3 linked regions of the Rattus norvegicus genome follow. The protein of the gene in region 2 interacts with the protein of the main gene of each other region in a pairwise test. Links are inferred from orthologs where the notes say so. Each region holds a gene or a part of one and is shown on either strand. Other genes may lie near its edges. The genes, in order: Cby2, Fam161a and Zbtb8a.

Region 1 (3,132 bases), on a different chromosome or scaffold from region 2:
TTCCTGCTCCCATGTCAGTTAGAGATGGTAGAGCCCATCACATGGATTCTAAGGATCCTGAGTGTCACAGTCAACATGCAAAGACGTCAGGAGAGGAGTGGGTTATGGTTCTTGGCTCATTTCCTAAAGAATGTAACCCGAGGATCCTAACTAGGGACTTCATGTGCTAATGACAAGTCCATGTGGATTCCCCAATTTTTGTAGATTTTGGTAGGGGGTATTGATGGGCAGCGGTCTACAGGAACTCTGGCTTTCAGCTCAATGTCATTCTAAAAAAAGTCGGCCTGTCGGTCTGTGGCCTGTGCCCCATCTCCTAACCCCTTGCATTTTGCAAAGCCATTTTTTTTTTACTATGTAGCCTAGATAAGCCTTAAGTTCACAATCCTCCTGCCTCAGCCTCCTGAGTCTTAAAAGAGTACAGAAATGTACCATGATAGCCAGTTAAGACTGAAGAAGGGGAGAGAAGGTACAGGGGCTGAAAGAAGAGAGAGGGGGACATGTTAATGAGATAGTTAATGAAGGAGGAGGGGCAGGAGGAGGGGGAGGAGGAGGAGGGACAGAGGGAAAGAGGTAAGACGTTAAAAGAGCAAGAAGGAAGGAGAAGGAGAAGCCATAACTCCACGGTGGTGTTGGCTGGCCCCAGCCTCCTCTGCCTTTATTGTGTCTCGGGTGGATGATGGCCCTTTCTCCGCTGTCCCACAGGCACGCACTGCTGGGCCAACACAAGGAAGACAAAGGAAGGTTGAGGATTCTCTCCGGCCTGGTCTTGGCGTCTATGTCCACTGCCGAGGCCTCAGACCCTGCTGGGCTTTTTGGGATCTTTGTTGTTCTTGGCCGGCATGAAGGCATACAACTCCTCAATAAGCATCTCCATACGAGCTGTGACCTCAGTCACCGTGTCGATGACCAGCCGCTGCTGCAGCTTCAGCTTGTTGTTCTCCCACAGGGCCTTGTTCTCCTCCTGGAAGACGCGATGCTCCTCACGCATGGCGTGGAGAGCCCTGTTCTCCTCCTGCAGCAGCCGGTTCTCCTCCCTCAGGGCCTGCAGTGCCTGATTCATCTCTCTCAGCAGCTGCAGGGGCTGAGCGCTGTCAGTTAGATTAGGGCCTGCCTTGCCCTCTTCTTCCCCAGATGGCCCGGACAAGTTGGTAACCATCTCCCTCAGGGCGCGCAGCGTCTTCGAGTCCTCCTGTGTTGTAGGGGACGCTTTGGGCTCCTCAAAGTGGGAGGAGTGGCTTGTGCTCTGATCTGGCAGAAGCCCTGAATTATGGGGTTCCTCCTTGGGTGAGGAGGTGGGCTTGCCCTCCTCAGCAGAAGTCGCACTCTCTTCTGCCTGTGCCCAGTAGGCCTGCCTCTGCTCCAGCAACTGCTGGAGGGCCCGGTTCTCCTCTCGAATGAACTGTAGGGTGTTCTCCTTGCTACGCTGGGCAGGCAAAGTGGCGTTGTCTTTCTTCACTACTTCCTGGGAGGTTGTGTCTTTGTGCAGCAGTGGCGAGGAGGTCTGACTCTCCTCGTGGCCCAAAGTGACCTTGTGCTCTTCCCAAAAGACCTGTAGAATCTTGTTCTCCTTGCGGAGGGCCTTGTTCTCATCCCTCAGAGCCCTGTTCTCATCCCGAAGAGACTTGTTCTCTTCCTGCAGCAGGTACTCCTTGGCCATCCTCTTGTGGTGCAGTTTATGGTGGAAGGAGGAGGAGGGAGAGAAGTAAGGTGACTGCAGGCGGCAGCTCTCGTTCACCCAACGCCCATCTTGGAAGACAAACATCTCGTCGCTAAGCTGCACTCGGGGAGGGTTGTAGTCTAGTTCCAGGTCGGCCTGGGAGGTGGGGCGCTCCATGGGGTCAAAGGGCATAGAGGAGAAGCGGTTGAGTGGGTAGGAGTGCTGGCTGGCTACCCTGCGGCTTATCCGGGGCATGGCAGCCTGCCTGGAGCAGCGAGGAGTGGTGTATAGGTTGTGGAGCCTCAGGAAGGGCTCCGTGCCCCTCTGTGGGAGGAAAAGCAGGGAAGCTGTTAATGGAGAAACTGTTAAGAGGACTGCTCAGGGTGGACTAAGAGGCCTGGAGACCCCCTCATATGACCTCCAGGGATCTTCACAAGGAAATATACCCAGCCTTTGCTATTCTGGGTAGCATTCTTCTGAATTAATGATCACGGAACCATGGTTCCTAGGGGGAAAAATGGGGCAGTTTCATCATAAAATTTCTGTCGACTGACCAGATAGAACACCGTGCTTCTGTTTAAAGACACTGTCATGGATACGCAGACTGACAGTGGGTGCATCATATACCATGAGCAGAGTTTATCTGACAAGCTCGCTCTTCGGGGCACAGCACAGACCGTGGTTATTAAGAAGAGTCTTTATTCGGTCCCCAGCTCCGAAAAAAAAGAACCAAAAAAAAAAAAAAAAAAGAAGAGTCTTTAACTGTATCTGTAGATGCCACTTTAAACGGTGAAGCCAACAAGGAGCACAAAAGTTTCAAAACCAAGCTGGCTTATAAACTGAAAACAAGACCCTTTGCCAGGATGAGTGTTCAAACAAGGGGGAGCACCCGAACCACAGTTCTTGGCCGCATACCCACATACAAACTCTGTAGATCCTAGAGAGACCACAAATACTCTATGAGCACTAAAGCTGGTGTAGTCAAAAGGTCCATACATTCAGTCATAACTATAAAACCTATAAATAATTAACCGTGCACTGGGCAGGCCTATAACCCCAGATACTCAGAGACAGTGTAGAAAGGAATATAAGCAGAACTTCCAGACCATACTGGATGCTTTCTATAGCAAGTCCCGACCAGGACTGCATAAAACAAGACCCTGTCTCAAAAAAGGAAAAGTCACACATAATAAGACCCAATCATGTGGCAGAAATGAAAGGTACTTGTTTTTTTTTTTTTCTTAACCTCTGGCCTTACCACTTATCAGTTATATGAATCTGGGCAAGTTGTGTGAATTCCAGTTTCTACAGTGTTAACCTGGGATAACTGCACCACCTTGAAGAAGGCATCAGATTTCTCAGAGTCGATGTTACAGGCATTTGCAGGAAGTCCAGCTGGTTATGTGGCCGCATTTTACCTGTATAATTCACTTAATCCTCATAGCGCTGGCAAGCGAAATACTATTTTAGCTTGA
Region 2 (3,737 bases):
GGCTGGGGCTGTGGCATGGTGGGTGTATGCCCAGCTGGATGGCAGGGAGGTTAATCATAAGACCCCTTGAGATCGCTACTAAAACCGGGAGTGGATGGCCGCCATGGGAAGGAATGGCGGTGCTGTGGTCAAGATGTGCTACGGAGAATGGGGAAGCAGAGAGATCTGCTTTTTTTTTTTTTTTTTTTTAATGTTTTTAGGCCTGGAGAGATGGCTCAGTAGTTAAGAGCACTTATTTCTACAGAGGGTCTAGGTTCAATTCTCAGCAAACATATGGTGGCTCACAACCCCAGTTCCGAGGTATCCAATACCCTCTGATGTCTGTGGGCAGTAAATGTGCATGGTGCCCACACAAAACACTCACACACAAGTAATATAAATAAATAAACAAACAAACAAACAAACAAACAAATAAATATGCAATTTAAAATTCTTGTAAGAGACAGGGTCTCACTATGTTGCGTACGATGGCCATACACCAAATGGTTGAACTCATCAAAGACCTCCCCATGCTATCCCGAAGCCTCAACAGAATAAGAGCCGGGCTGACTGAAAAGACCAGACACTAAAGCAACTGTGGCAGGAACCTGAGGTTCATAGGGTTGGCGACGTGTTCTTTATTGAGCTGCGAGCCTCATCAGATCTTAAGCAAAATCACTTCCTTGGTGGACTGGATGAAGCTGCCCCAGAAACGGCATGTCTTGGCAACTGTAGGACACAACGAGATGGAGTACACACATGGAGGCCAGAGGTCCTGAAACAGGACGCTGGTAACGGCCCTAAATTCCAATAAACACAACCTGGGAGACTCTTTCAAACAGCATCGGCCTCTTTTGCAATTTTTTATCTTGCTCCTCCAATTCTTGCCAATATTCTTTCATCCTGGCCTTTTCGCTCCTTCTAGAATCAGATAAAGAGAACGGCATTTTAAAAGGTCAGCTACGGAAGCTCTATTAGGACATTCACTTCAGAAGTCAAATCAGGAAATGAGAGCACAGTTCGGGCCAGTTCCTTTTCTAGACTGACAGAATTCTCCTACGTCCAGAATAAAAAGCCAGGCCTTGAAGGCACACATTGTTCTGTTCTAGGAATCGTCTGGGCATTTGGATTTCAAAAGTTGTCAAGGCAAAAAGACTTCAAACTTGCCTGGAAAGTGTTTTATATAGAAATGTGCAAAAGCAAGAAAGTCTGGTCCAAATAGTTACCTTAAAAATATCCTTTCAAAAACAAGACCCTGAAACTGGGCAGTGCTTTTAGTCCCAAAACTCTGAGGCAGAAGCAGGCAGATCTTCTAGTTCCAGGCCAGCCTGGCCTACAGAGCTATTTCTAGGGCAGCCCAGGATACACAGAGAAACCTTCTCAAAAAAATTTAAAAAAAAAGACCCCACGTTTCTTCTTTGCCTAAATGAGATCACATAACGGGCAACATTAATTAAGTGGGAGCAGGAAAGCGAGACAGTGGGGCTCATGAGTATTTAGCAACAGAAGAGAGAAGCCAAAATGCTGGATGTTGCTGTCTTCCTCTATGGACCAGGCCCCACAAGGAATTACACCGCACTGTGCTTCTCTGGGTAAGCTATACTAAAAGCAGCCGAGACAAGAGAGTATCCCGGGTACAGAAAGTAATTATAAGTAATTATAATTACGCTTACTCAGAGTAAGTTGGCATTAACTTCCTACAAGTAAACACTGTATTCCTAAAGGAATGTTTTGCACAAGTTCATCAAACTAGGCTGTATTAGTGGGCTAATACCACACTGTAAGAAATACTCAGTGTTAAAAGCAGATACATGTATTTGGATCTTAGAGGCTAGTAAGTCATATTACTTACCCAGCTTTGGAGGAGAGCTTCTCTTGCATAAGCATGACCATTTTTATGTGCAATGTTTGGAATGCTGGTTTTCAAACTCTGCGCTATAGAATTCTAGTAATATTTTGCAGAGGAGTGTAGGTGTCCTGTGGATGCTATTAGCTTTCACAGGGAACAGTCATGAGGGGCAGCATGTACCCAGGACGCAGCCACTCAAACCGTTGTATTTGGTACAAACTTAAAACAGAGCTCCCTGACTTGTTTGTTAATTGAAAAAAAAATATTCTCTGGGCTAATAAGGCCAGATCAGTGTCCAAGGTCCAGGCTTTGATCCTCACATCCCCAGCACCAGATATACAATGTATGTATATACAATGAGTATATATGTATATATAATGCATTATGCACATGCATGTATATATGACAAATATTTAAAAGATTTATAAATAAGAACACACTCGGGGCTGGGGATTTAGCTCAGTGGTAGAGCGCTTACCTAGGAAGCGCAAGGCCCTGGGTTCGGTCCCCAGCTCAAAAAAAAAAAAAAAAAAAAAAGAACACACTTATAAGAAGGTTTTGTGCTGGTTTTAAAGCAGTTATTTTTTTTCTTTTTTCTTTTTTTTTTTCGGAGCTGAGGACCGAACCCAGGGACTTGCACTTGCTAGGCAAGCGCTCTACCACTGAGCTAAATCCCCAACCCCTTAAAGCAGTTATTAACTATGGCCATAACAGAAAATGCTTCTGGTCCACATGGTCTCATGGTTCTCACTCTGGAGGTGAGCATATACACTGACTGTTATCATAAGATGTGTATGTGTGGATATATGTGTGTAACAATTGAGGAGAAACAGCCAAAGATTATTTAAATCCATAAATTAAGATACCATAGTATTTTCATATCTAGGTATCCATAGTTACATGGAAAGGAAAGGAAAGGAAAGGAGAGGAAAGGAAAGGAAAGGAAAGGAAAGGAAAGGAAAGGAAAGGAAAGGAAAGGGGGAAGGGAAGGAGTTTGACAGCTGCTGTTGGAGTCCCCAGGCTCCTCCGTGGTACCTGAGATCGGTTACCCTGGATTTAACTAGCTGAGACAAGCTCTGCTGTGAGCCGTAAGCCTTAACCCGGGTTGCCAGGAGTTTCTGTAAGTCTCTCATTCTTTGCTTCTGTTTAGTTAGGATCCGATTTCTCTCTTCTTCCAACATTTTCTTTTCCTCAAGGGATTTCCTGAGGGCAACAAACTAAGGCTTAATTCACTTTAAGCCAAGGAGGAAGTTGTCCGGCAAAGATTTAACATGGGATAATTCAAAGGCCAGAAAAAAAAAAAAAAAAGGCCACCTTTTGACCAAAATCGTAATTGTGACATTGGAAATCCGAGTAAAACTGATGCTGTTTCTCTACCTTCCCCAAGGAAACACAGAAATCACATTTGTTTCTTAGAAGAACATTCTTAGCAAACGGTTCTCCACCATGTCATACAATACCTTGCAGATAATTTAGTAAATTCAGATTTATCAAGCCAAAACCCACAGGGCTTCTTCCTATGCCAGTTCAGCAACCATGTGACCAGGAGCGCCCATCCCAGTGCCTTACCTGATGGCTTGCTCGCGCCCTCGGGAAGACGCGGTGGGCATCGGAGGGCTGTATTCACAAGGCCTGGCGCTGGCGTGCGCGCTTCTTCTGGGGGATTTATGCCTAGGAGAAGGATTAGGCCTGCGTGTTTCTTTCAAAATTTCCTCACCCATTCGGATGTCTGCCAAGATTTTCTGTCTTTTATTGGAGTCACATAAGGATTCGTAAAGACAACACTGGTCACAAAGCACCGGGCAGTTCCGAAAGCTCTGTTCAGAGAAGGGTTCCTTCCATTTCTCCAAGCCTTGGTCACTGGGGCTCAGGCGCCTATGCCTGTGTTTACCCCTTGGCATTGCAGGAC
Region 3 (4,435 bases), on a different chromosome or scaffold from region 2:
AAGATTTAGAATTAAGTCCAGAAACAATTTAAGAGCTTTGCTTTAGAAAGCTGTGTGTCCTCCAAAGTTCATGCTGAAAGTTCATTCGCAGAGGAGGAGTATGACCAGGAGCTTTTAGGGGGTTATTAGGCCGCCGTGGGGGGGGAGGGGCACTGCCCTCAGGGCGGGATTAACATCCTTCAAAAGGGGTTTGAGGAGTAGGTCTGCTCCTGGCCTTATCCCTTCTTATCCTTTTTACTAATGAAGACACAGACTGTATTTACCCTCATTATGTATGTGGTGAGGAGGTGCCATCCCGGAAGCAGAAAGCAGCTGCCAGTCAGGGGACCATAATCTGGAACTTCCCGGCATTTACAGGTGTAAGAAGTAAATACCTGTTCTTTGGTTGATCTGTTGACCAGGCTGGCTTCCAAATCAGTGACATCCGCCTGCCTCTGCTAGGATTAAAGGTAGGCAACATCGACTGTTCTTTCTTTGATTATCTTAGTAGCACATATGGGCTACAGGGTCCAAGATAGGAAAGTTTTAGGATTAAATGTTAGAACCCTTAGGGAGGCTGGAGGCATGGCTTAGCAGTTAAGAGCACTGGCTGTTTCTCCAAGGATCTAGGTTCGATCCCCCACACCCACATGGAGGCTCACAGTCATCTGTAACTCCCATCCAGGGGGATCCACCACCCTTATCTGACACCAGGCATCCACTTAGTACACAGGCAGGCAAAACACACACACACACACACACACACACACACACATATAAATCTTAAGAAAAAAAAAATAGAGACTTGAGTTTTGAACTATGGTTGGAAGGCCTCGCTGAGAGGACTGATGCCCATAGTAGGAAAGTACCTACTCCAGGCAAACTGACAGCAGGTGCAAAGGCCATGAGGCGAACAGGAACGGAAGATGGAGAAGGGATGGGTGGGGAGAGCAGGCCACTGTGTGGTATGTGGGTAATGCCCCCTAAACCCCAGGGTCTTGGGAGGCTGAGGCGGGAAGAAGTAAGACCAAGTCAGCCCAAGCAAAACCCTCATCTCATAATGAAATTAAAATTTAAAATATAAGGGCTTGGGGGTGTATCTCAACGATAACATTTGCCTAGCACATGCAAGGCCCTGGGTTCAAAATACAAACGCGCACGCGCACGCGCGCGCGCGTTGGGATGCACAAACGCATGCACGCATGCGCACGCAGGCCGCATGCACACACCATGGGGCCTGTGTATATTTTTTTGGGAAGACATAAAGGAGCCATTTAAGGTTTTGAGAGGGCTGGGCATATGGTTTGGTGGTAAAGTGCCTACGTAACATGCATAAAGCCTTGGGTTCGGTTGGAATACAGGATAACACCAGGTTCGGTGGCCCACGCCTGTAAACCCTGCATTTAGCAGGGGGCTACAAGAGAATCAGAGGTCCAAGGTCATCATAAACTACAGATTTAGGTCTAGCCTGGGCTACACGGAACCCTGTCACCCTGTCTCCAAAAGGAAATATATATCGTAAAAAATGAAAAAGAAAGGGGTTGGGGATTTAGCTCAGTGGTAGAGCGCTTGCCTAGGAAGCGCAAGGCCCTGGGTTCGGTCCCCAGCTCCAAAAAAAAGAACCAAAAAAAAAAAAAAAAAAATGAAAAAGAAAAAAAGAGATATTTTAAAAACTTATATTAACCTCTTTGAACATTACAAAATATATAATTATGCCATTGAAGACAGAAATTTGTCTAGTGCATCCCAGCACTCCCACGGAGGTAAGAAGATCAGAATTTCAAATCTAGCCTGAGTCCGCTTTAAAACAAAGAATAAATAGGTAAATAGAAGCGCGATCTAAGTGATAAAATCAGCGAAGGTTTTTAGTTCTTTGAAGACTGCTCCAGGACGCTGCAAGAACAGGGCGCCTTAGGGGTGCGGGGGTACCCCCCTCTCAGTTCCCTGCCTAGGGATGAGACTCCATGGTTAGCGGGTTTGTTTTGTTTTTGTTTTTGTTTTTTTTCCTTTGCTAGGTAGACTAAACGACTGAACCGGTAGCCATCCCATAAGAAATTAAGTGCTCTATTTCGTCAAAGTGAAACCACTCCATTTGCTAAAGTTCTGCGAATATAAAGAGTTGTAGGTGTTGGCGGCGTGTGCGGTTGGGTGCCCGCTAGGTGTGAATCCTATTCCAAACACGTCTCGGAAAGACGTGGATTATGGCTAACCGCACGGTCAAGGGCGAGTAAGCGCGCCAGAGCGCGAAGGGACCAAGCCAGACAGGTCGCCCGGTGGGAGATGCCAGGGACATTTTGCCGGGAGCCAGCTGGGGCTCCATATTTCTGCCCTCGGTTCTAAGCCCGGAACTGTCGCGTCGTGATGGAAAGCCAGAGGGTGGAGGGCGGAGTGAGAACGCCGGGCTGCAGCGCCCCGCGCCCCGCGTCCCGCGTCCGACGGCTGCAGACACGCCCGGCCCCGTGGCGCCGCCTCACCGGCGCCTTCCCGCCTTTCCCGGGGCCGGGCCGGGGCTGGAAGCCCGGCGGCGGGGCGGGCGCGGGCGGCGACGGTGCAGCCATTGTCCCGCAGCCGCGCCCGGGGCCGCCGCCGCCGCCCGCGCCTCCTTTGTGGCCGTCGCCGGCCCTCGGAGCCGCGGCTCTGCGCCCTCCGCTGCAAATGGCGCCCGGCCGCCCGGCGCACCGGCCAGGGCTGCAGCCCCGGGGCGCACCCCGGCGGCCCCGCCGCCCTCCGCCAGGCTCTCGGCCCGGCCCGCAGCCCCGACGCCCCGGCCGCCCTCCACCCGCTCGCGCCCGTGCCCGCGCAGCCACTTACCGCGGGGCTCTGGCTGCTCGCTTGCTCGCTCGCGCGCGCTGCGGAGCGATTCCCGGTTCCTGGTAGGGGAAGCACCCTGTTCCAAAGCCGAGGCTTTGCGCCCTAAAACAAGTAGCCCCAACGTGAGAGAAACAAAAGGTATTTGCTGACGTGGGCGTTGGACAGAAACGCCCGAGGGCTGAGGACACAATTAAAGGGGCAACGCACAGATTTCAGGCACCAACCAGCAGCTTCGCCCACTCCCCCTGTCCGTGCCCACACCCGACTGCACCCTCCGCAGGCTCTGGGGCGCCCAGGTTCCCCAGCAGTTGGCTGCGGATCATTCTTTTAGTGGGGAGCTTAAAATTTAAAATTGTACTTTACGTTGGAAAAGGCGCCTCCGGAGGGCAGAAGGGCTGGATCTCTAAGATGTGGGGATATTGGTTCAAGGAGAGAGGGAGGGACTTAGGCGTGCCCACAATTACTGTATAAGTACTTGTGACATTATTGTGCTTAAGTTTAACGACGTAAAATGGGAGAGATTTCCACAAAATTTCCCTTTGTCAAAGCACTTAATTCCAGGCAGTCATAGCCTTTTAGAAACCTCTGTAGTTCCCCATCAGACCATTAGAAGAGGCAAGCCCCGAGGGGCTGAGATAAGAGAACGTGATTCTTGATATAAAAATAAAACAGGTTTTCTGTTTTCAAATATAAAAACTGGTCGTAAACCAAGTTTCTCTTCTGATGTCACCCTAATCCAGAGCACACAAATATCAGGTAATACATTTCCTAAAATAGTAAACTGCTGAACTTTTACACTGTTTAAATTCCACAAACTAGTTTCCTACTCCTTCATGCTGATTGTCAAGTACTGCCTGCCAAATTGGAGGGGGGGACTCAAAATTTCAAAGCATACGTTTAATATTTTGAAGCTATCCCTGAAGTCATACCCACCAGGGTTTCTGATTTCCCAAGTAGCTATGCATTCGAACATCATTGAGAATCAATACATCCATTCAGTTCTGAATGAAAAAGAAAGAAAAGAAAGGACGGAAGGAAGAAATAGAAAGCAAAGGAACAAGACGGGTCCTAGGTATAGCGGAGGAGAAAGTTGATTTTAGAATGTGAGAGAGCATAGCCAGAGGCAGGGACATCTGGGAGAGCACAGTGTGGACAGGAGCAGACTGAGCTGTGCCCTGTGAGAAGAAAGGAGGTGCGGGAAGGGAGAAGAGAGAGCAGCATAACCAGGTACAGCAGTCAGGGGACCCAAAATTACAAAGAGGGCGGGTAGCCAAAATGCTTAGATTATATAAGGAAGAGTAGCCCAGCCCCCTGGGCAGGAGAATTCAAACTAGGGGGCAGGATAAACCAGTCAAGAGGGCCCTGTAACAGGTATGGATTGAGGGATGCAGGGAGGACCTGGCGGACCAGGTCCCCTTTGTCATGTTAAATAGGCACCCCAGCTATTTGTCCCAGGTTAGAGACCAATTTCCTAATGTCACACCTGTTTACTCCCCAGGTGCTCTGTGATTAGATGTGTTTCCTCACGGAAGGAAAGACAGAAGGAAGCTTGTTTGAAAATCATTAGGACACCAGGTGCTGTGGCACACACCTTTAATGCCAGAACTCAGGAGGCGCTGAGTTCAAGACCACCCTGGTCTACATA

Evidence for each region.
Region 1: the proteins of Fam161a (region 2) and Cby2 interact in binary tests that used the Homo sapiens proteins (3 or more experiments, as listed by UniProt). The two-hybrid records come from large-scale screens. The link is inferred for Rattus norvegicus from reciprocal best matches to the Homo sapiens genes FAM161A and CBY2.
Region 3: the proteins of Fam161a (region 2) and Zbtb8a interact in binary tests that used the Homo sapiens proteins (3 or more experiments, as listed by UniProt). The two-hybrid records come from large-scale screens. The link is inferred for Rattus norvegicus from reciprocal best matches to the Homo sapiens genes FAM161A and ZBTB8A.

Annotation. Positions count from the first base shown.
Region 1 is NC_086033.1:57,318,196-57,321,327, forward strand, and holds the end of Cby2 (protein chibby homolog 2), read right to left. Parts: intron 1,982-3,132; coding exon 794-1,981; 3' UTR 625-793; downstream 1-624.
Region 2 is NC_086032.1:101,220,642-101,224,378, reverse strand, and holds the end of Fam161a (protein FAM161A), read right to left. Parts: coding exon 3,398-3,737; intron 3,032-3,397; coding exon of another isoform or gene 2,864-3,031; intron 901-2,863; coding exon 780-900; 3' UTR 598-779; downstream 1-597. UniProt on the Homo sapiens protein: Involved in ciliogenesis.
Region 3 is NC_086023.1:147,002,618-147,007,052, forward strand, and holds the start of Zbtb8a (zinc finger and BTB domain-containing protein 8A), read right to left. Parts: upstream 2,929-4,435; 5' UTR 2,791-2,928; intron 1-2,790. UniProt on the Homo sapiens protein: May be involved in transcriptional regulation.